4 linked regions of the Arabidopsis thaliana genome follow. The protein of the gene in region 3 purifies or fractionates together with the protein of the main gene of each other region. This does not show direct contact. Each region holds a gene or a part of one and is shown on either strand. Other genes may lie near its edges.

Evidence for each region.
Region 1: the proteins of FYPP3 (region 3) and AT1G07990 fractionate together in Arabidopsis thaliana (co-fractionation; one large-scale study listed by BioGRID). This does not show direct contact.
Region 2: the proteins of FYPP3 (region 3) and AT2G40290 fractionate together in Arabidopsis thaliana (co-fractionation; one large-scale study listed by BioGRID). This does not show direct contact.
Region 4: the proteins of FYPP3 (region 3) and AT2G42230 fractionate together in Arabidopsis thaliana (co-fractionation; one large-scale study listed by BioGRID). This does not show direct contact.

What each region holds. Positions count from the first base shown.
Region 1 is NC_003070.9:2,475,350-2,482,962, forward strand, and holds the start of AT1G07990 (SIT4 phosphatase-associated family protein), read left to right. Parts: upstream 1-1,603; 5' UTR 1,604-2,063; coding exon 2,064-2,102; intron 2,103-2,326; coding exon 2,327-2,430; intron 2,431-2,616; coding exon 2,617-2,703; intron 2,704-2,836; coding exon 2,837-2,912; intron 2,913-3,038; coding exon 3,039-3,113; intron 3,114-3,249; coding exon 3,250-3,303; intron 3,304-3,629; coding exon 3,630-3,689; intron 3,690-3,773; coding exon 3,774-3,890; intron 3,891-4,050; coding exon 4,051-4,145; intron 4,146-4,240; coding exon 4,241-4,449; intron 4,450-4,828; coding exon 4,829-4,926; intron 4,927-5,056; coding exon 5,057-5,160; intron 5,161-5,247; coding exon 5,248-5,410; intron 5,411-5,570; coding exon 5,571-5,693; intron 5,694-5,865; coding exon 5,866-5,948; intron 5,949-6,230; coding exon 6,231-6,363; intron 6,364-6,446; coding exon 6,447-6,476; coding exon of another isoform or gene 6,477-6,593; exon of another isoform or gene 6,594-6,622; coding exon 6,623-6,693; intron 6,694-6,861; coding exon 6,862-7,549; and 1 more. Other genes in the region: AT1G07985 (uncharacterized protein), read left to right, coding at 159-593.
Region 2 is NC_003071.7:16,828,244-16,833,068, reverse strand, and holds AT2G40290 (Eukaryotic translation initiation factor 2 subunit 1), read left to right. Parts: upstream 1-1,842; 5' UTR 1,843-2,179; coding exon 2,180-2,563; intron 2,564-2,693; coding exon 2,694-2,750; intron 2,751-2,829; coding exon 2,830-2,916; intron 2,917-2,999; coding exon 3,000-3,146; coding exon of another isoform or gene 3,147-3,197; exon of another isoform or gene 3,198-3,234; coding exon 3,235-3,339; intron 3,340-3,647; coding exon 3,648-3,746; exon of another isoform or gene 3,747-3,750; intron 3,751-3,883; coding exon 3,884-4,039; 3' UTR 4,040-4,303; downstream 4,304-4,825. Other genes in the region: FER4 (ferritin 4), read left to right, coding at 1-171, 324-407, 492-552, 638-725, 983-1,044, 1,162-1,227, 1,332-1,395, 1,531-1,568; AT2G40280 (S-adenosyl-L-methionine-dependent methyltransferases superfamily protein), read left to right, coding at 4,769-4,825. UniProt on the Arabidopsis thaliana protein: Functions in the early steps of protein synthesis by forming a ternary complex with GTP and initiator tRNA. This complex binds to a 40S ribosomal subunit, followed by mRNA binding to form a 43S pre-initiation complex.
Region 3 is NC_003074.8:6,959,964-6,965,730, reverse strand, and holds FYPP3 (flower-specific, phytochrome-associated protein phosphatase 3), read right to left. Parts: upstream 3,996-5,767; 5' UTR 3,724-3,995; coding exon 3,643-3,723; intron 3,357-3,642; coding exon 3,210-3,356; intron 3,123-3,209; coding exon 3,055-3,122; intron 2,814-3,054; coding exon 2,756-2,813; intron 2,268-2,755; coding exon 2,157-2,267; intron 2,074-2,156; coding exon 2,023-2,073; intron 1,918-2,022; coding exon 1,774-1,917; intron 1,684-1,773; coding exon 1,588-1,683; intron 1,495-1,587; coding exon 1,423-1,494; intron 1,054-1,422; coding exon 970-1,053; 3' UTR 525-969; downstream 1-524. Other genes in the region: AT3G19990 (E3 ubiquitin-protein ligase), read right to left, coding at 1-135; AT3G19970 (alpha/beta-Hydrolases superfamily protein), read right to left, coding at 4,364-4,634, 4,795-4,985, 5,157-5,262, 5,351-5,767. UniProt on the Arabidopsis thaliana protein: Catalytic subunit of protein phosphatase 6 (PP6). Dephosphorylates phosphorylated phytochromes, with a preference toward Pfr forms.
Region 4 is NC_003071.7:17,592,900-17,598,483, forward strand, and holds AT2G42230 (C-CAP/cofactor C-like domain-containing protein), read right to left. Parts: upstream 3,767-5,584; 5' UTR 3,665-3,766; coding exon 3,179-3,664; exon of another isoform or gene 2,999-3,178; intron 2,904-2,998; coding exon 2,763-2,903; intron 2,639-2,762; coding exon 2,258-2,638; intron 2,157-2,257; coding exon 2,052-2,156; intron 1,965-2,051; coding exon 1,824-1,964; intron 1,686-1,823; coding exon of another isoform or gene 1,680-1,685; intron 1,546-1,679; coding exon 1,342-1,545; intron 1,235-1,341; coding exon 1,142-1,234; intron 1,046-1,141; coding exon 934-1,045; intron 850-933; coding exon 806-849; 3' UTR 512-805; downstream 1-511. Other genes in the region: AT2G42220 (Rhodanese/Cell cycle control phosphatase superfamily protein), read left to right, coding at 1-42, 148-252, 342-406; AT2G42240 (RNA-binding (RRM/RBD/RNP motifs) family protein), read left to right, coding at 3,945-4,208, 4,299-4,361, 4,573-4,657, 4,756-4,812, 5,058-5,130, 5,361-5,409, 5,523-5,584.

The sequences.
Region 1 (7,613 bases), on a different chromosome or scaffold from region 3:
ACTCTCTCTGCAATATTTAAACGTGGCCTAGCTCGTGTTCTTTCAATCTCCAATTATTACTCTATTAATAAGAGAAGACGAGTTTTGCTTTCGATACTGTCTTTCAACTATTCCGACACAACCAAAGCTTCTGGAAACGTTGTCGTTTGTTATCAATAATGGCTGTTGTAGAAGAACCGATACTTTCAAGATTGGATCGTATTGATTTCATGGTGAGGAAGTTAGAGGAGATGAAAGGAAGCTCGCCTAGAAGCTCGAGCCCATCGACTCCATCTAGTGGGACTCAGCCATCGTCAATGGATCTGTCGTCACCGAGGAGCATAGGGAAGGTACACTGCCGTTCGATGGAACAAGTCAGGGAGGAGACTGAGCGGAAAGGAACTTTGCTAGAGAGACTTAATAATGTAGAGGAGCAAGTGCTTAAGCTGTGTTCACAGTTTGAGGAAGAAGTTGAAGAAGAGAGGAAGAGAGAAGATAAGACGGATAAGGAAAAGAAGACCCCGAAGAAGAAGAAGGGATTGAGGAAGCTGGTTGATAAAGTTGTTGGATCTTCTTCTCCCACTAATATCCATTCCAAGAGCTGGCGTTGTTGAGTCATTGTAGTACTTTATTACATCATCATGTATACTTCAACGTACCACGTTTAAATGAAAGCTTCTCTTCTTTTTTCTTTGTTGAAGCGCTAGTGGAAAAAAATATCTTTAGGTCTCTCACTCTCTTGTTTGATCGTTTGTTTGTTGAGGTTTTTTGTTGTCCAGTATGCACTTTTTAAGTGAAAACAACAATGAATTTTCAGTGTACTTTCTATTTTTCAGAGTGCACTTTTCAAGTGAAACAATGAAAATTTGAAGGAAAAACAAGTACACACCTATAAATGATTAGAAAAACGAAGATGTGTGTAGTCATTTCCATAAACGTAACGATAAATTCTCAGTGGAGATGGTTAAAATAAACCGTAAATAGTTAAAATTTAACAAATGCCCAAGGTTTTGTGTAGAATAGAACAATTTAATTTTATATCTGTTCTCCGGGTTTTCTTGCTTCCCGATCAAATTGGGGTGTCAACATTTTGATCTAAAAATCAGTGACATCATATATGAGACTTTTCAACGTGTTTTTTTTTGTCTAAAAAAATTTCATCATTCTCTTGTCAAGTATTATGTAAGGTTAACAAATCTCCTCATAAATTTTTTAAAGATCGAAAATTTTCTAAAAATATGTAAACTTTTTTTCGTCTATGGTTTCTTAAGGTGTGAAGAAAAAGAGGCTGTTTACGGAGTTCACTCTGTTTGACACTTCAACCAACTTTTGTCTTTATATGTTTTTATTCTACACCATTAAATCAAACTTAAGACAATCATATGCATTTCTTTATCCACAAAATTGATTTGCTTATTGTACTTCATCATCCCGTTGTAAAATTTATAAGCACAATTTTCGCCAACTATTTATTCCGCAAATTGAACAGCTGATTTTATTTAAATTAATGTGATCTTTATCACAACAAATTCACAAGTCACCTGCTGCTGGTGACGCAAGTATCCCCCTCTCTGTTACAATATCTCACGATCATTCAATTGTATCCATAAAGATGATGTATGTTACTATCACCACCACCACCACCATCGTCATGAATCATGATCATCAGACAACGACTACGAAAAAATCATAAGTCTACTTTTATTAGACACACAAATCTGTGAAAATGGCGATTTAGTTAATAATAATTCGCTCAACTTTTTCTTAATCAATCAAAGGAATAAAATAACAAATAATAATAAGACCATTTTTTACTTTTCCCCTTCTTTATGCAAAATTCGGCCTCTTAATTTTCAAAATTTTCGACCTCCGATCTCCCATCTCCGCTTCCATCATCTTTAGGATCTCTCAATCTCTTTCTTCACTGATCGATTAGGGTTTTCGAGCTGAAATCGATACTCCTCCACCGCGAAGAAGCGATTACCTAGATTTTTCTTCTAGGTTTCTGGCGGATCTCGCCAAGTTCTCCTTATTCTCTTCAGCTACGGCGAAACTTTCTCTAGCTCCACTCCTCCCTCGCCACCATGTTTTGGAAGCTCACATCTCTCTCTGCATCATCTCCTGTGAGTTGAATTTTTAGATGTCGTGTTGTATGTTAGCGTTCATCTTGTCTACAGATACTGATATGCTTTAGAATTAGATTATTGGAGTTTCTATCCGTTGCTTTGCTTTTTCATATAATTTATGTCGAATTTTTGGATTTGCTAGATTTCAATTTTTTGAATTATTGTCTCTGAGTCGTGAATTGTTCATGTATTGATGTTCTTTCCTTTTGTTATGAGCGCAGGTGGAGATAATATTAGACAAAGAAAATTTCACGTTGGAAGAGCTTCTTGATGAGGAAGAGATTATTCAAGAATGCAAGGCTTTGAATAGCAGGCTCATTAACTTGTAAGCTTTTTTTAATCATTTATAATTGGCTTATATTCCTCATTATCTGTTTCATAGAACCAGATAAACCCTATGGTGTATGTTGAATCCTATGTCTCCTCTATCTGCGGAGTTTTAGTTAAGGAGTCCCATATTTCCTTCGTATTTTCTTGGATGACTTTATTGATTGGGTATTAATGTCTGCAGTCTAAGGGATAAAGCTCAAGTGGAGCAATTATTGCGGTACATTGTTGAAGAACCTCCACAGGATGCTGATAGTAAACGTGCTTTCAAGTAATATGCTTCCTTGATTCTAACTGGAATTACCTTGTCTTACCATCCTCTCCTTTTGCCTTTTATCCACTTTTCTTTTGAATGGTTCTGGATTTCTTTTCTCTCTAACTAATAATAGTTTCTTCTCTTTTAGGTTTCCATTCATCTCTTGTGAAATATTTACATGTGAAATTGATGTTATTCTAAAAACTTTGGTCGAGGATGAAGAGGTATTTTTCATTCATCCTACTACCTTTTCCTCAAATAGCAGTTCATACTTTTCACTTTTCTGTGCATCTGGATTATGTTTATTGTTATCCTAGATTCTCATTTGTTCGAATAATTTTATCTTGCAGCTGATGAACTTGCTTTTTTCCTTTCTGGAACCAAATCGTCCTCATAGTGCATTGCTGGCAGGCTATTTCAGCAAGGTATTCTCTCTTACGATACATAAGTTTACGTATTAGCCAAGTTCCTGTAATTTTCTTTTGTTTTGTTTGTACCGATACATATGACTTCATTTCAAGGCTCCGAGAAGTGATTCTTACTTCTCTCTGTTTGGTGTAGGTTGTCATTTGCCTTATGATCAGAAAAACTGCAGCGCTTATGAATTATGTAAAAGTAAGTAATAACACATAGTTAAACGGATGGTAAACTATATGAGAAATATATTATGGAAACTATTTGAACTGATTTCTAGGATTATCCAGGAGTACTGTAGAATACGTCTTATTTTCTGTTAACTCTTCTATTCAGAATTGATATTACCTTCCATTGTAATCTCGCAAGCCAGATGTCCGTCTATTTAGTAAATTGTTAGTAGATGAGATTGACATGACTCTATTCTTCAATTGCTGGCAATTATATTGATGTGACAGACAATTTAGTTGAATTTTTTTGTTATTTGTTTTGTATTCAGTTCTCAAAGTAACTTTTGATGATCACAGGGGCATCAAAATGTTTTCTGCCAGTTAGTTGATTTGATTGGGATAACATCCATCATGGAGGTAATTGGTTTGACTTAGACTCAGTGCAACTTGGTGTGGTTTCAGAGGTCTTTTTTGCTATGATATTTACGCGACTTTTTCTAGGTTTTGGTTCGCTTGGTTGGGGCTGATGACCAAGTCTATCCCAACTTTCTGGATGTGATGCAATGGTTGGCTGATAGCAATTTACTTGAAATGATCGTGGACAAACTTAAACCATCTGTAAGTGGTTAAGCTTTTCTATAATCATCCCAGAGACAAGAGGCTCTTGGTTTTCTCTTTGATACTTGTAGGTGGTGTAAATCTAGGATATCTGATGATATTACTAATTTCTTCTATCATCTTCATTCTGATATGTTTCTTGCATTACAACTTGAATCAGAGTCCTCCGGAGGTTCAGGCAAATGCAGCAGAAACATTATGTGCAATTTCTCGGAATGCACCGTCAGCTTTAGCTACGCAGCTCTCTAGCCCTGGGTTTGTAATCTTTCTTCCATGATGATTCCTAATGCTTTGATAGATGATACAAAAGTGTTTCACATGGCAGCACAACTTTTTCCCTGTTTTTGCAGCTACGTTGCAAAGATATTTGGTCATGCTCTTGAAGACTCGCATTCAAAATCCGGTCTAGTTCATTCACTTTCAGTATGCACCTCTCTTCTGGATCCGAGGAGATCTGCTGTTTCATCTTCTATGTTCAATTCTTACAGAGGTCAACATATGTTCGAGTCTCCTGTCCCAGTTTCCCCAGAAACTATTGGTGCCATGCTGCCCAAACTCAGTAAGTTGGATCCTATGATGCACCATCGTCACATGACCATCAAGATTATTAATTTTCTGGCTTTTTTATTTGTTGCATGCACATAATCTTATTGTGCACTTGGACAATAGTCAATCCTTTTCTTATGTGATATTACTTTCCATTTGCGAGGATACCTAGAGTATTTAGCATCTATCTGGACGTTCTGTTTGATCTTCCCTGCTCTCTATTTGGTCTCTTCTATTTTGGTTTATATTGATAAATGGAAACTGGTTTTACATAATTCTGGAATGCTTACGTAGCACATCTTGGATATGTATGATACTGTCTCATACAAGTTTTTCAAATCAGGTTTTATGCATTCAATGACCTTAAGTAATATTTTTTTTTTTTTCTGCAGATGACTTGCTTATGCTTCTCACTGTAGCATCTGATAGCACAGTATTGCCTACAACATATGGTGAACTGAGGCCTCCTCTCGGAAAGCATCGTCTAAAGGTCAGGTCCAAACATGGAGCATTTTATGGAAGACATTGTCGTTTTTAGGACACCAACAGTGCTCTTAATATATTGTATGTAAAGTCTCTATACTTAATTAGACTCACTTATCTTATTTTCTTTGTTTCAGATTGTGGAGTTCATTGCAGTTTTGTTGAAAACTAGAAGTGAAGCTGCACAAAAGGAATTAGTCAGTTCAGGAACAATCAAAAGGACCCTTGATCTGTTTTTCGAGTAGGTTTTGCTAAACTTAAAATTTTGTGATTACCGTGTGCTATTTCTACGAGATCTTAAAAAATCAAATACTCTCGACATATGAAGGTACCCGTACAATAATGCTCTGCATCATCAAGTGGAGAGTATAATACTTTCTTGTTTGGAAAACAAGAGCGATTTGATGGTTAACCATATTCTTCGAGACTGCGATCTGATTGGCAAATTCCTCTTGTCGGACAGGGACTCAAACCTCTTAGGTGATAGCCAGGTATTACCATTTGCTATGTTCACAAAGGTTTAACTGATCATCAGCATATGAAAGAGTCATCTTAATACAGCTCCAAGTTAGCTCCATTGACTCATTGCTCCAGCGTTCATTAGCTAAACAAATATTCTCTGGCATTTTCTTTTTCTTTTGTGCGAGGTAGCCCACTGTAGCTGCCTCCGGGAAAAAAAAACCTCGTGTCGGGTATGTCGGGCATATCACAAGAATATCAAATAAAATTGGTCAGTTGAGTAACAGCAATGGCCAGATAAAGGCATACCTTCAGGTTGGTATAAAAATTATACGTGTCGTGTTGTTTTTCTTCTGCCGCTTTTTTGTCACTTCACACGCATAAAGAATGTAAAACCATTAGTTGAGTCTTGTGATGAATGGTCCTAGCACTCTGTTGGAATCTACCATGTTTGCTGATTGTGCTTTGTTCATTCCCAAATCTTTAGGAAAACAGCGAATGGAATGAGTGGCAAGGTAGTGTTCTGCAGGACCGCAACACGGTTGAAAATGTCAACAGATGGGGATGTGGGTATGTTAACCTCTACTCACAAATCATCTAGTAACCATTTAATTGGTCAGTCTGCTACATAATGCTGATTATGGATGTAAAAATTCATGTGTGATCCTTGTTCCTCTTGGACAAAACCCTCAAAGATAATTCTGCATTGATGACTGATGGTATCATAGTCAAATAATATTTCTTCTCATGACGAGACCACTCAGTAAATGCACCATGATCTGGTCCCGGGTTTTGGATTTTATCTTCACTCTTTTTGGTTATAAAAATTCCTAAACTAATTGTTACGTGTAGGCGCCCAACTACCCTACAAGATAGGACAAGAGATAGCGATGAGGAAGACAGGGATTACGATGTTGCAGCTCTGGCCAATAACTTAAGCCAAGCATTTAGATACAAAATATATGGAAACGATGACAATGAAGAGGTATCTTCTCACACTAGTGCTTTTTCTTCAATTTATGAATGATTTCCTGGGTACTGAATTTATCGTCTTTGTATTTCTCTCAGGACCACAATGCCCTTGATAGAGACGATGATGTAAGTCTTGCAAAAATTCTTCTCTCCGCTTTTTTGAAAAATCAAGGAAACTATCAACATCTTTTATCACACTATGATACGTATGGGGGATGTACGCTAATAAGAGTTTGCTATTGAAAATTGGAATGTGTTTATATACTATACAGGATGTTTACTTCGACGATGAATCTGCTGAAGTAGTAATTTCATCCTTAAGACTTGGGGATGACCAAGGAAGGTGAGTTTATCTTTTTATTATCTGTTAATACTGGTGTCCTCATGTCCTTGCTTTAAACTACAGTTACTGTATCTTGGTGATTGAATTATGTCATCTCTCTTGACCAAAAAACGAATGATGACGTCTCTCAAAATAATGACTTGAATCTTTTTTGGTATTTTGCCGCAGCTTGTTTACAAATTCGAATTGGTTCACATTCCAAGACGATAGATTCGGCAGCACACCCTCTGACACAGCGGGTTCGAACACGATAGACGTGGAATTGAATAAAACCTATAATGCCAACACTAGCAGTAGTGACGATGATGAAGTTGTGGTTGGAGAAGAAGACGATGATCTAACTGGAAACCCAAAAGACAACGCGTTGAACACAACTGAAACCAACTTTCAAATGGAGAGTCCACTGGATTTCTTCGACTTCAACACCTCACAGAAAGCTGAAGAAGCTTTTGCTGAACAGCCACCCGAATGGGTCGGGTGGGGAGAACCATCTGATATGCAAGCGAGTGGCACCGGTCTGAACCCATTTATCGATGATGATGATGATGATGACAGCAAGCACATAATGAACCTCGACATACCAATGGCTGAGGTCAAATCTGAATCCATGATTCCAAACGGGTCAGAAAGATCGTTATTTGAGAAGGACGTGGAATTTGTGGGAGTGGAACCAGAAGGGGCAGAGAAAGCGATGGAGCAAGCGATGAAAGAAGGGATAGTAGGAGAAGCTGGAGTGATGAAGAAGAACAAGGAGATGGCTGAGGACTCAAAGCCGGAGGAAAGTTCAGGAGGAGTGAAAGAGTTCAACGATAACAACTACTGGAAAGTGGATCAAGAAGTTGGAGTGTTGGAATGAAAAAGTCGTTACCTTGTACAGTGTCATTTTGTGTGAGAGTATGATACAAAACTTGTTATTAGTT
Region 2 (4,825 bases), on a different chromosome or scaffold from region 3:
CTCTTTTCGCGCATCTAAAAGCTCAACCACCGACGCGCTAAGCGGCGTTGTCTTCGAGCCGTTTAAGGAAGTAAAAAAGGAGCTCGATCTCGTCCCTACCAGCTCTCATCTCTCACTCGCTCGACAAAAGTACTCAGACGAGTGCGAAGCCGCCATTAACGAGCAGATCAAGTAGGTTATTCTTTCTCACCCCAGTCTCTTAGATTCGGTATTATAATCTGGTTGATTGGCTATAAGATTTGGTAACTTGGAACCTCATGTTGATTCTGCTTATTGTTTATGAACCTGTGAATTTGAAATTCTTCAATGGATTTTGGTTGCAGTGTGGAATACAATGTCTCGTATGTGTATCACGCTATGTATGCTTACTTTGATCGGGATAACATCGCGCTCAAAGGTCTTGCCAAGTGAGTCTCCGGTTATTCAAGAGTGTTGATATTTTCGGATTTTTTTTGTTTATCCATAGTTAATTGTTGGTTTCATGGAATCAGGTTCTTTAAGGAATCAAGTTTGGAAGAAAGAGAGCATGCTGAGAAGTTAATGGAGTATCAGGTCTTATGAAAGTTATTTCCATTTGTTTACCTTATTGGAGCTAATTTGGTTCTAACATGTTTTAGTTTTTTTCCATGAATTGCAGAACAAACGTGGTGGGAGGGTTAAGTTACAGTCCATTGTAATGCCTCTTTCAGAGTTTGAACATGTTGACAAAGGAGATGCTCTTTATGGTAAGCTCAAAAATGCTAACACTAATAATCCCAAGTGAAAAAACTTCTTTAGTTTCATATGTCTGCCACATTCTAAGAAATTAGATATTGACACCAATGATTTTGTTAAGCTTTTGAAGAGATTGCATATTTTCACTAGCAAAGACTGAATTTTATCTGAGTTCTTAAGTATTATGAAAATGTATCTCTCATATGGAGATTCAAGTCTCAATGGATATAGGAATTTTAACATACAATTCTGTGATTTGTTGTTGCAGGCATGGAGCTTGCTCTGTCACTGGAGAAACTAGTTAATGAGAAGCTCTTAAACCTTCACAGTGTAAAGACCATCTCTTCTTGAGTTCATACTATATATGTCAAATCCGTATTTGAGAAGTAAATCTAATCTTCACTCGGCAAGAACTGTTCTCAGTTTGGTAATGCTTTGCTTCAACAGGTTGCTTCGAAGAACAATGATGTCCACTTGGCAGATTTTATTGAGAGCGAGTTTCTGACAGAGCAGGTAATTTATTTGGTGTTCTATGTTAGTGGCAAAGAGCTACTGTTGTATATAAGCTATCAAAGAGAATCTAATAGGAATTTTTGATAAAATAAAACATTTCTCAGGTGGAAGCAATCAAGTTGATCTCAGAATATGTGGCTCAACTGCGACGAGTTGGCAAAGGACACGGTACATAAATAATCTCTCACATTTTGTTCTAATCTATAAATTTATAAAAGAACAAGAAAATCCACTTATTCATCCTACGTCGTGCCTCAAACTTGGTTTTAATATATGTCTTTGAATGCTTGTGGGTAATTTCAGGAACATGGCATTTCAATCAGATGCTTCTGGAAGGGTAAGCAGCTTCGAGGGACTCTTGTGTCTACTGTGTTTCTATATGTGTCTACTTTATGTTTAGTTCTTTAGCTTTTACGATTTTGTGAGGTAGTAGACTTCTTTTTCTGTAAGAGACAAAAGACATGATCACATAACTTTATATTCTGGTATAAGGTTCATCAAACCCACCTGGTGATCGATTCTACATCGGTTCGGTCAGAATGTTTTTGGACTGCCAAATGTGGATTCGAGCTCTAGTTTAGTTTGCTCCGGTTTAAACGCAATTCATGAATAAGCAAAGGAAATCAATCCAAACTTACGTTGTGAAAGAAGTTGGGCCGAAAATGTCTGAAACCCGAATAGGCTTTTAACCCCTAACCCCTTGAAACTATCTTGTGGCCCAATTAAAACCTAATTGTTTAACTGACACGGTGCCGTTTAACTTGGCATCTTTGACGCAAGTCGACTCATTTTCCGTTTGTGTTCCTTGCTCATTTCTTATCTCTAGAAACCTGTCTGATTTGCTCCGTCGCCTAAAAAGTCTAAAACCCTAAGTGTCTCCGCCTCGTAGCTTTACCCGATTCAACGAAGAGTGAATTCGCGTGAGCTCAAGCAGTATCGAAATCTACCAATCATGGCGAGTCAAACACCGAATCTCGAGTGTCGGATGTACGAGGCGAAATACCCAGAGGTGGATATGGCGGTGATGATCCAGGTGAAGAACATTGCCGATATGGGAGCTTATGTTTCTCTCCTCGAGTACAACAACATCGAAGGCATGATCCTTTTCTCCGAGCTCTCTCGTCGTCGGATCCGAAGTGTTAGCAGTTTGATTAAGGTCGGAAGAATTGAGCCTGTCATGGTTCTCCGTGTTGACAAAGAGAAAGGTTACATTGATCTGAGCAAACGTAGAGTCAGCGAGGAAGATATTCAGACTTGTGAAGAGAGGTATAACAAGAGCAAACTTGTTCATTCTATCATGCGCCATGTTGCTGAGACTCTTTCAATTGATTTGGAGGTAAAATATCGTAGTTCAAATCTGGGATTATCTACTGGATTTGGATTTTGCTTGTTAGAGATATTATCAAATATCATAGCTTAGTGATGTGATCGTTGAATAGAAATTGATTTGAGCTTTCATGTTGCAGGACTTGTATGTGAACATTGGTTGGCCTTTGTATCGACGACATGGTCATGCTTTTGAGGTAAGAATTTTGTGAATTGGAGATTCATTGTGTATCTCTATGGTTATTTAGTTCTCATATATAATTTTCTTTTGTTCAGGCTTTCAAGATCTTAGTGACGGATCCTGATTCAGTGTTGGGTCCTCTCACCCGTGAGATCAAAGAAGTTGGGCCTGATGGGCAAGAGGTATATACTTTGTTCTCTGGCATTGTTTTAGCGGTTAGTACTAACTTTATTTGGTGCTAATCTTACAAGTTTTCTGTTTGTAGGTGACTAAGGTTGTACCTGCTGTTACGGAAGAAGTGAAAGATGCACTTGTGAAGAACATTAGGAGGAGAATGACACCACAACCAATGAAAATCCGGGCTGATATCGAATTGAAGTGTTTTCAGTTTGATGGAGTTGTTCACATTAAGGTCGTATCTCTTATTAGATTATCTTTAACTTGTGAAATGAATACATTATGATTTCATTTGATTTTCTCACCCATGCTTGTAATTTCAGGAGGCTATGAAAAATGCTGAAGCCGCTGGAAATGAAGACTGTCCTGTTAAGATTAAATTGGTTGCTCCACCTCTGTATGTCCTTACTACTCAGACACTTGACAAGGTTAGGCAATCTTCTATCTTGCACTATGATTTACTTGGTTTGGTAATTGGTATATTATAGAAATCCTCCCCTACTTATCTTTAAGAGGTTTATGATCTCTGTTTAGATTGTATATCCACTAAAGCTACTTGCCAGAATTTTGAAAACACTGTAGTTGCAAGGAAAGTAAATGCTTAAGAAAACACTGGACATTGCAACTTTGTTTGCCAATTATGTAGCTCTGCGGATTTGTCTTCACTTAAACCATAAATGTGTAAATGCTATGTTTTGTCCCATTTTATCTTCTCAATTTCTCAAATATTAAACAGGAACAAGGGATTGAAATTCTAAACAAAGCCATAGCAGCATGCACTGAGACAATTGAGACACACAAAGGCAAGCTTGTCGTTAAGGAGGGGGCTAGAGCTGTGAGTATCTTAAATTAGTTTTTTTTAAGTGATGAACCGTCTCGAGTTGCATGTCACAAGAACGAGCTTTTCTTTTGTGTTTTGTTTAATTTGGTTCACAACCGCCTATTAATGTTTATAATCTATGTCAAATATAGGTGAGTGAACGTGATGAAAAGATGCTGACAGAACACATGGCTAAGCTACGTCTTGACAATGAAGAAATGAGCGGCGATGAAGATAGCGGAGACGAAGAAGAGGACACTGGTATGGGCGAAGTGGATCTCGATGCAGGTGCCGGAATCATCGAGTAAGATTGCCGGATTTTTCTTTCTATTAAATCTACCCAATCTCAACAGTCCCAGTATTTTGGTTTAAGCTTTGACAAGGCAGTAGAAAAACCTCCGAGAGGATTTATGTGCTTTTTGATGACTCTGAGGCATTTTATTTTACCCATAGGGGGTGGTTACATATCAATCATACATTCATGGTTTTATAAAAGATTTGATTCTTTGCATATGTTACTACTGCTCAAGAATATGTTGCTCCACCACATGACTCATTATTATCTTAGGAAAACTTTGGCTCAATATGATCATACTTTTGAGTTTAAACCTCAGGAAAGTAGGTTGATTGGATCTGGCAATGATAGGTGTGTAGATTTAATTCAGATCTGATGTCTCCGAAGATGCAGATATTCATCAATTACTACTGCGATCTTCTATTGAGAAAATTTACCAAAAATGAAATTCTTAAAAATCCTCTGTCTGATACATAAATGGTTAACTTGCAATTGATTCATAATTAAAATGATTTATTACAAGATCAAACATCTTGTCTTATACTACTAATCAGAAAAGAAAAATTCTTTCGGACACAAATCCTTTTTTAATCTGTCGGCGCATTAAAAATTACTTAAGCTCTCTCTGCAAAATCGAAATGTGAAAGTTGCGACTTTTGGAGCTCAGCTCAGCTCACACTTTCCTCTTCCTCTTACCTGAAACGCGTCTCGTAACACTGATCTCTAATGATCTTCGTCTCCAATGGCGATATCAGTACAACACGTCGTCGTTTTACTCCTCTCCACTCTCCTCATCGCC
Region 3 (5,767 bases):
AAAAGGTCGGGCTGATTCCAGTACGGCGTCGTTCGGGGATGGAGATGATGATGAACCCATTTTGTCTCTATTACTCTCTTTCGGTTGATGATGATCGCTTCTCCAGCATGGAGGATTAAACCTTTTTATTAGCATTAAAAAAAAAAAAAAAAGACTTAAACAATGACTCTTTTAAAAAAACCATTGACCAGGACCACCAGGTTAATATTTTATGATTTCCCTCTATTAGATGACCAAGCAACATTGATGTTCATCGGCAAACAGAACAAGAACTGAACTCCCCCACTTCTCATAGTGTTTCACTGTTTTGTAATAAAAAGAGTTACTATTAATTTTAAATCATACAAGCATGCAACTCACTGAGCAACTCATAGGAGTGTAGTTATATAGTGAAGATTAATTAACTGAAAATTACAAACTAAAAATTGCAATTCTTTTTACCACATTCATGACTGCATATAATAACTTTTTTTTTTTATTGTAAGGACTACCCCTCTCTCCATTACTTGAGACAACAATCTGTATCATAGATCTGAAAGGCAACACACCAAAAGCCGAATGAAATGATTGAATAGCTCGAGACCGACAGGTATTCATTTATTGTTGCGATACTGTCCCATTTGTAACGATGTTTGATTATTTTAGAATTAATGTCATCTTCACAACAACAACAACAAAAACAGAGGAAACAGTACAAGTGAACAATGAAAAAAATAACATTACAGAAGAAAGATTGGGGGAAAGAAAAGAGAGCAGAGAATCAAAATGACTAAGACTATTACCAAAGTGTTTGACTTGTAACTTTCACAAGGGAAATGTAACCTAAAGGACAAAAATAATGATAGTAAGCGAAACCCATCAGTAGATAATATATATAATCATATATTAACCTTTTCCACATTGAACTGAACATATTGCCAATGGCAGCAATGGCTTCATCATCACAGCAAATATAATAAGTGTGATTCTTCATAGGAAATACGGAACTCCAGTCCTTGGCCCTCTCATTTGATTGTTCTCTTCTGTCTCTGTGAAGAACTTCACTTCCCTTTCCTGGTAATACAAACATTTCAATCGATTTCATCACTAACCCATGCAGGAAGGAGGATCCTAGTAGCACAGACAGCTTGAATCTATGGTCAATGAAAATCCACTACAAATGCAGAAACAGAATCTATGGCTCACACAGATATTCAAACCTCATTGCACATGGCTTACTTGATTTAAATTCTCTAAATTACTTTCTATAATCTTCCTAGATCCATTAATTCAAAGAGGCACATAGCAAATCAACAAGAGTGTACATATTTTGATAGAGTAGAATCTTAAAAGAAATGATTAAAATCACTGAAGTAATAGAATCCCTTCTTGCTGACAGAGAAGATTAGAGTATTCATTTAGGAAAGACTAAGAGAGGCTCACCATGTTGTCATTGAAACTCAATATAGAAGCGACATTCCCACAGCGGTAACAGTAATTAGGTGCAGACCATACCTTCACAAACAAAACAAAATTAACAATCACTAAGCAGAGTTTCAAAACGCCCACTAATAAAAAATATCAATTCATTAGAAGCAGGACACTCACAGTTACAAGGCCTTTATCTTGGAACATGTACTTAAGACCTTCTTGTACAAGTTGGTGCGCGCGGCATACTAGATCCAGCTTGTTGATATGGTTAAACTGCACAAGAAGCCAGAACCAAAGATCAGAGATGTGAAATTAATTTCTTAGTTACAGTATCAATTCAAGCTTTTGAGAAAGTAAACATACCTCAGTGGTAACCCTGGATCCGAAAAGCCAACCAGCTCCACGTGGACTAACCGCCCATGTTTCAATATCTTCAGGATCACTCCACATAAGATCGCAAAAGGGCCCTTCATGAGGAATTTCGCAATTTCGCTCGATCAGTCTTATCTAGAGCCCACAGCAAATCTATGTGAGTGGAGGACCTTAATAACATGCCAAGCTAGAAGCATAATTGACGGGTGAAAGCCACAAGCAATAAAAGCAGAGTTTAACCTGATCAATTGTCCGGACATCCGGGGAAAGGCCACCGTGAACACATAGAACCTAGACAAAGCAAACTATTTTAGTATAACATACAGCTATATGTGTTCTCATCAACAATGCCAAGTTGCTAAGAAATCACTTACTGTGCCATCTATAATAGCTGACAGGGTAAGATAGTCAAAAACATCTGTGCAATATCGCCACGCATTAGCGTTACCATACTTCCTCTGGCATTCGTCATAGAAACCATACACCTAAAAAAGTAAATCAAATGGTTCTGTGTTATAAAGGAGTTCAATGTCGAGAATCCATGTATAATTTTGATCATCTAGTCAGCAGATTCACGAAATGCATATTTGAATTGCACTTTAAGAGGTATGATTGCAGACTAAGTCTTAGTAAAGGTTTGCCAGGAATGCATTCAAATACAAAATTATCACCACACTTTCTTCCTTAAAAACCTATGTATCAACTAGAACACTAAGGATTACACACATGCTAAAAAGGAGACTGGTACTATATGAAGCACCTTCTGAAATTAGCTTTCCAATACTTGATTCACATAAAATGCATCTTAGCTAACATCGATGTCTACATCTGACATGACATTGCCACATGTAGTACAAAATCAGAACTTTCAAAACCCTGCTGTAACAACGAGAAGATAATCAACATTGCTTACCTCCTAGGAACAGCGTGAAAAGCAGAATAATAGATATAAGTGGAACAGAATAACACATACCTGCGTTAGCTGCCTACTTTCATGATTTCCGCGCAAAAGTGTAATATTGGCTGGATATCTACATATTAGAATACAAAGAACAGAGAAACATGAGATGCTAAAGAAACAATATCATTCTCGTTTGGACTAATTTTGAATGCAATACGTTACTGGGACTATTTCTTCCAAAGAAAGATAAATAATTATCAAGATTAATTGCTTAATAAACAATAAGTTCGTATTAAGCACGAACAAAAAAAAACTTAAAGGCAAAGATTCAATGATAACAGGAATCTCCAGAACATTTATGAGCACCTTACCTAGCTTTAAGAAGTAAAAGAATAGTGAAGACTTCAAGGCTGTTGTAACCTCTATCCACGAAGTCCCCCTGCGAATTTCCCACACCAGATTATGATTGTATTCATAATTTCATATCAATATGTCATACAAGACACCACAAAAGAAAACTCGGTACCATAAAAATGTAATTGGTGTCGGGAACATGACCTCCGGTCTGAAAAAGCTTCATAAGATCATGAAACTGGCCATGGATATCACCACATACGGTGACTGGACTGTTTACAGGCTGTACGTTTGACTCCTCAATCAGAATCTCTTTCACCTGTATAACATTATGATAAACATCTTCTGGTTAACACCATGATTCATCTTCGCAAATCTATAAATCAATCGCTGAGAAAGGAGACCATAAAATGGTATCTAAACTACAAAATTGATGCCTCCATAGTTGAAAAGAAAGAAAAATCCTAAAATCACTACAGACCAGATCGAAGTCACGTTCCACTAAGGTATATAAATACAGATCAAACCAAGCAGAGAAGAGCACAAGAAGCTTAATCGACCAAGAGAAGAAATCAAGTAAGAAGAAGAAGAAGAAGAAGGCGTACGTATTCGCAGAGAAGCTGAAGCTCGTCTTCGGAGAGATGCTGACCATCTTTAACCTTGGAAATCCATTGATCCAAATCCATAACTCTCTCTCTATATATATATACCTCTGACTGGTAAAATCTTCAACACTTTCGTTCGATTTCAATAGCGACTTTTCTGGGAAAAAAGAGGAATCGAATCGAATCGAGATAGATCTACCAGAGAATCTTCGACTTCGTTAGGGTTACGTAAGAGGAGGAGATGAAAGAGAGAATGAGAGGTTCGAGTTTCACAAAATGACACATACGGCAAAAAGAAAAAAAGATCCCAGATCGATCTCTGCCGCTTCCAACGCAAATCAAACTTTTGCGTTTGTCAAAACGCAATCGTTGACGAACCAGCGTCTCATAAGAAATACGATTGTGATCCCTCATACTTCTAAAAATTATGAGAATTGCCAAAAACTTTATGATTGGGTTCTTAACAACCCTCTTTGAACAAATAACAAAAGACAACCATAAGATCCAAATCTCCACTACAAAGGACAAGGACGTCACTTTCTTGAATCTTCATTCTCCTAAATGTACAATATCCAACAATTTACAAAGGAATAATGAATTTGAATCTATAAACCAATCCAAACCAAAAAGAATCATCAATCAGTAACTATTTTTCTCTTTCTTGTATAAGAGTTAAAAGGACCCCAAAAATGGTTAGCAACAACAACACTTGTGGAAGTCGCTATGAAGAATGGTGGCAGCAAGAAAGGACAAAGTTGTTCATGAAATGGTTGAGCTCAGCTGTATACAGTTCTGGGTTACTCCGGAAATGGTCTACATGAGGTGAAGATATGAAGTTGCAAGCACGGACCTCATGTCCTGCTTTCCTCTGCTCTACAATGAATGATTCAACTTGTTCCACCGGTATAACTCTGTCTGCAGAGCTGTAAATGTATAACTGTGGACAACTTGGTTGTGCTGTTGATAATGTGTCAAGAACATCGGCAAGTCTCCTGTTAAAAATATGATTGCACGCATTTGTTAGTGTGAAATCATAGGATATGGGTGACAAGAATGAGTGAAGAGATATGATTGCCCGCATTTGTTAGTGTGAAATCATAGGATTTGGGTAAAAGAATGAGTGACGAAACGCGGAGTTTTATTGTATGTTACCTGTTTACTTTGGGAAGATTTAGAATCACCGCAAAGAACTTTTCAAGAACCAAAAGCAAAGCTGTTTCTGTTGCAGCGGGTTTAGGCTGGGAGATGTTTATACCGTTTGACTCATATGATGAGCTCGCAGATCCTTTAGTGGCTACACTGCTTTTCTTCAAGAACGCAGCTGAGAAACCTGATGCCCATACCTGTTTTAACAAAGCCAAATTAGTATCCAGAAAGTTCAAGCGAATAGTGCAGAAATCTATAAAAAGAATAGCACCCATCAGCGTCTAGCAAATCAGGTATCCAAGCCTATGATTTAGCACAAGCCAAATGACCATATAAACATGGCTATGAATGCAAGAATCATCGCTTACCGTAGGATCTGCAGCAGCAACAGGAGCTGAGTCCACTATGCAACCTTTAACTCTTCCCATCAATGATGAATCTTGCTTCTGAAACTTTTCCAAAATGGCTCCATATCTGCATAGATGAGAAACTCGCTTAGTAAAATGTAAAACCGCCATGTAACTATGTAAGCACATGAAAAAAACAGAGATATTAAACTCACGTTAACCACCCGGTGTTGCTGAAGGTGTGAAAGACGAGATTTTTCTTTTGCTCTTCATCCAACCAATCAGCCAAGTGATTAACCAGCGACTCGATGTTCTTCTCTGCTTTCCCTCCAACTTGATAACTCATAATCTCATTCATCGGAAGAGTAAATGTAATGACATGGTAACCCTTTGAAGTGTACCAATCAGCATATTTCTTCAGATGCTTCTGCTTTGATCCAAGCCATCCAAGCAAAACCACAACAGTTCTATTCTTTTCAGACACACAACTCGAAGAACCAGACATATCGACTGCACTAGGCTCAGGTAAATGCCATCTGTAGGAAATATCAGGAACCACAAGTGAGGCACCGATTGTGAATGCAACCGGTTTCGATGCTTTAGCCAACTCTGCAGACTGATAAACACTACGA
Region 4 (5,584 bases), on a different chromosome or scaffold from region 3:
ACATTGCTTGTGTAACATCAGGGCTACAATCTGTAAAACCAGGTTTGATCCCATTTGGTTTCATCTAAGATCATTTCTTGAGGGGTTTTGGAGATAGTTTGGTTTGAGAAGGATAATGAATCGGATTTACTGTTGTTGCGACTTTAGGGACATTTGAATCCGTCGGTTCCACTGAGTTGCAGAATGCAGGCAAAGCAGGGCTTATCACAATTCAAGGCAAGATCTCAGCAGTCTTAGGGACAGTACTCGTCTGTAAGTTTAATTTACATAGAGCTGAAGAATATAGAGAATGTTGTTTGGTCTTTCCTTTGGTTATGAGTAAGACTTTGTTGAACTTGCAGGTGCTTATTTGTTCATACAGTTCTTCCCGGACCAAGCAGAGAAGCTCTTTCCTCCAACAAGCTAAGACAAGACAAAGAAAACAATTGAGGCAGACATGTTTTCACATTTTCTGCCTGTTTTGAATGTGATGCTTAAGAGAAAATTCAAAATATTTAAAATTCCCAAGTAGTAGTTACTAAAAGATTTATATATATGGTATTGAGAAAAGTTGTTATAACAATTGAAAGAAATCAACAACAAGACAAGATGGCTTAATGTTTTTCAAGGACAAAAACGTGGATATTTAAGACTAATAAATACGATAAAAGCAGAGAGAAACCTACACACAAAAAAACAGAGCTTTAGGAGTTAGAGAGCGTGCTGTGCAGTTAAATTCTGATGTCAAACGTGCTAGCAAATCTCTGAGAAGGAACGGATCAAGAGAACTCTACAGTGACTCTGACATTTTCAATCGCCATTGGTCTTAATCGCCTTGTAGGCAGTAAAGTTGCCGAATATTTCCCGTCGCTGTCACCAAAAGAAAGAGATACATATAGATCATTGGCTGGCCAAAGGAGTAAATGAACTAGAATGGGGATTTTATTTGATTACCGTATAGCCAGTCTTTGAAATACATGTGGAACGCTGTAGTGAGTTCTCGTTTTCGGTTTTCTTCGAGAGGTGTTTCTCTCAAGGATTGTCTTGTTTCCTCTAAGTTCTTAAGCTGCTCAAAACCAAAACACAGTTAAGGGATCAGATGCTGAAGTATGGATGAAAAAGAAACGAGCAATTTTATGCGGAAAGCAAATAAAAAACATACGTTTGTCTGCTGCACTGCCTTATATGCATCTGGCAATGGAAATGGATTGTCTTTCGTGGAACCAATCGCCTCACCCGCAAACCAGTTTGGGATCTGAACCAGAGACATTGATGTGAGAAATTAACCCACGAACACAATCTTAATAACCAATATCACTAGTTACTAGAGGAAAATTAAACTAACAAAAAGGGGAATCTAACCAAAAAGGTAGTGAACTGGTCAGGGTCCACACAAGAAGCCGGTTCAGCTTGTTTATCAGAGGCACCAGTCGGATGTGATAGTGAGTCATGCGGATCAATTGCTCCGAGCGCCAAGGATTCGTTCCATTTGTTGATAGTTGGCTGAATTCCTACCTCGGTTATGTGCTCCTCCAAGTGTGAGTAAAATGTATTATATGGAGCAACCTGGAACAGATAACAGTCACATTGATGCCAACAGTTATAGACAACACATCAGAAGATGTTTCCACTTAACTCAGTTGAAGAAGTGACTTTAACAGCATGCTCAATTTTCCAAACACCAGGAACCATTAATACGATCATGACTATACCAGGATATTAACACAGGAAAGATTTAGCCTAGAGTTAAAAGAAAAACTGTAGTCTATTTATTAATTTCAGCTGAATATCAGGGCGGGAAAGAAGAGTTATGTATGCAGCTCAATCTTAAATAGACATATCACCTGTAGTTTGTGGTTATCACCAACTATAAGAGGTCGCTGATTGACTCCCAAAAAGAACACACATTCACGGCAATTGGCGATGCAAATTCGTTTGGTAGCTACAATCACATGAACTCTCTCACAATGCTCAACTTTTACTGCCTGCAAAGAACATAAAATATTATCACTGCATTCTAACCTGAACCTCGCTAACAAAGACTAAAACAGAAAGGAGTATATTTGCCGTACCTTGCCAGCAGCTCCCAGAACGATAGTAGAATCAGAACACCCATACACAGTTGCATATCTCAATGGCGCTAACAGATAAATAACAGAATCATGGCAATTGGCAACCTGCAGAATACACAAAACATGCAATTGACGTGCATACATGAGTAAACGAAACTAAATGAGGGATTGCTGTTTAAAATGCAAATTAGTTGTTCAATACGGACCTTCACTGATCTACCCTTAAGATCAGAAGCCTGCTTGAAAAGTGAGGTCTTAGAGACTCCCTCAATAATACATGGACCTCTGTCGTTAGATGAAACTTTATTAAGAGCTACACTAGAATCAGCCATTGCAGCATTCTGATCAGAGGCATTAGATGCCCCATTTTCTTTCCCAGAGATTCTGTTAGAAATGCTTTCTAAGGCGGAAGCTATGTCTTTGAGAAGCCAATCATTCACTTGGGAAGCAGGAACGGGGACAGCGGGCATATCAGGATCAGAATTCGCAAAAAAAGGAGTAGCTTGGCTTAAAGAAGGTACATCAAATCCCTTATCACCATAATGAACAAGAAACCCAATGTGCTCCAAACTCTCCATAGACAGGACCTGAGGAGGAGATTCGGACCATCTAGCATGAGATATTCGTTCTTTTCCATTTCCCATAATATTGCATCACAACATAAAATTTTCTATCCATCTGATACAAACATAAAAAAAGTTTAGCACATACCAAAGAATCATCTCCTTGTCCCTCCACAGGCTCTGCAAGGAGAGAAATAATATTTGCAATGTGCTTTTGCAGATACGATAATTGATGAGCTTCTTCATCTGTCGGTGATGGCATAAACCGACGGCTGTTGCTACGAACAAGCTGCAAGATGATGAAAGGAAATTTAACTTAAACTCAACAGCTACAAGGATGTCTCTACCCATATGATAGAAACAGTAATGAGAACAATTATCGGTAAAATATTTCAAATATCAGACAATCCTTTTCATATGTTTCTGAATGATAACGTAATATTATTTAACTTGCATTGCAAAATTATAGTAAAATCCAATGCAAAATGAAATTTTTTAAACCAAATAGATCACAAGATAACGTTTTGAGCCACATTACATGATTAAGAGAATAAAAAAGCTTGCCTGAATTGGAGATAATGCCGACAAGTATCCATCAAAAGCAGAAGTCGAAGGCCAAACATCAGCCACAGAAGCAGAGTCTTTATGCGTCCTAGGCAATAACTTCTTATACGATTGAATGTAGAGAAACAATATCAGATCCCTCAAATCAGCTCCCACGGAATCAACTTCCTCAGGTTTGGCCAAAACCAATGGGTCAGTCTCGCAATGGAGCACCGAAGAGAGAGTTTCGAGAACGAGGCGCGCATGGTCATCGGAGATCGAGAGTGCATCGGAAATGGCAGCAGATCCGACGCGATGATTCGTCGCCAAAGAAGCTAACTTTTGCTTGATCGGAGCTAGAGTTTGAATCGGGTCGGTAAAAACGAGCTTCTGGATCGGAAGAAGGCCGTGCTCGAAAGGAACACGTCTTGGGTGGATTATTAAATTCGAATTTTGAATCGGGTCTGGGTCAGGTGGTGGTGATTGGTCGATGAGCTCTTCCGTCATTATGCTTTAAACCAGAGAACGAGAGAAAAAGAACTGTTATGAATGAAGTTGCAGATCTTTGAACATAGGAACAATTGTCATCAAGAAGAAGAAAAAAAGAGAGAGAGTGTTATGTTACAGTGTGTGCAACCACATGCTATTATCCTACGCCTGGTGATGAACAATGGGTCAAAAAGGCCGATATTTAAATGGGCTTTAAACGGCCCATTAAGTAACGCGATTAGTTTCTTCTCCGTTGTAAACTGCGACTTTCACCGGCCACGAGATTAAGTCGTTGTCAATGGATGATTTGGAAGCTTACTATTCTCACTATAATTTACCGGCGATGGTTCCTCCTCCGCCGCCGGGAGTTTCTCCGATTCCAATTACTTCAGCTCATTCCGTCTATTTGCCTACCCATGTCTCAATTGGAGCTCGCGATGAGGTTAGGACGCTTTTCGTCGCCGGACTTCCTGAAGATGTCAAGCCTCGGGAGATCTACAATCTCTTTCGTGAGTTCCCAGGATATGAGACTTCGCATCTCCGGAGCTCAGATGGAGCTAAGGTAATCATTTTCTATCTCTCCGGATTTGTGATTTGGGTAATGATGTTTCCCGGCGAAGAGACTGAGAATCTTACTTTATTTGTTTGGTAGCCCTTCGCATTTGCTGTGTTCTCGGATCTGCAATCAGCTGTAGCGGTGATGCATGCTCTCAATGTGAGTACAAATTTCTTCAAACTTGCTCTTGCAATGTGTCGCCGATGTATCTACTTACAAAGCATTAAGTAAATTTGGTATCTTTATGGTTGTTCTTAATTCAATCTAGTAAATTGAAATCATTCGGTTGGGATTTGTATGCGTAAGTGAATAAGCTTTGTCATTTGCCTAGATTAAGAAACTTTCTGAATTTTATTTCTGAACCTTTCAGGGAATGGTGTTTGATCTTGAAAAGCATTCTACTCTTCACATTGACCTTGCCAAATCAAATCCCAAATCTAAGCGTTCAAGAACAGGCAAGTAGTAGGATTCTTTCGGTTCGGTAGCTCAATAAAAATTTGACCTTTGCTATTGTTGTGTTAATTTTTATTTTGTGATTTTTGTGATATGGTAGATGATGGTTGGGAAAGCTTGAAAAAACTCAAGTCTTGGAACACTACTACTGAATCTGGTAAGATCATTGGCACACACCTTCATCTTGAGGCTTCTTGTAACCTTCTGTATTTTATGTTTCTTGTAACTGAATGTTTGTGTAGTATATATATTTTCAAACTTCCAATCTTCATGACCATCACGCTCATGCATGCTAGCTCTTTTTGGTTTAAGATTTCACACTTGGGCTTTAAGTGCCGTCAACATGGTTTCACGTTTCTGAAAACTCACACTGCACATTCTTGCACGTTTGGGCACTAGCAGGTTTTGGCAGCTTTCAAACTCCTGGAATGAGTAGTTCTGCTTACAACACAATTGGTTATTCACCTGCACAAAGGTCATCTGCACTACTTGAGCACATTTCTAGTTCCTTGTGAATGCTTAGATTCTGTTTCTTTGTTGCACACTCTTTTCTTGTACCTCTGCCTTGAAAATCTGACCTACTTAAGGATTAGCTGAACTAGTCCTAGCTCACATGTCTAGATACTGGTTACGAGAGTGCTTGTTCTTTCTTAGCTATTAGCTCACGAAACTCAGGGTCTCATTAAATTCTTTTTGCTCGTTCAGTCAAGGAATTGCTAATGTTGCTGGGAGGGCACCGACTTCTAGAAAACCTGTAAGCTTCTGCCTATTTTATACTTCATATGAGTATTGTTTTCTGTCTGGACGAAAAACAGTGAGGTAAACTATTCTTACCAGTGAACATGACAATCTTTGTTCCTTTGACAGAGTAAGGCGGCAGATCCTTGTCCAACACTTTTCATAGCGAATATGGGACCAAATTGCACCGA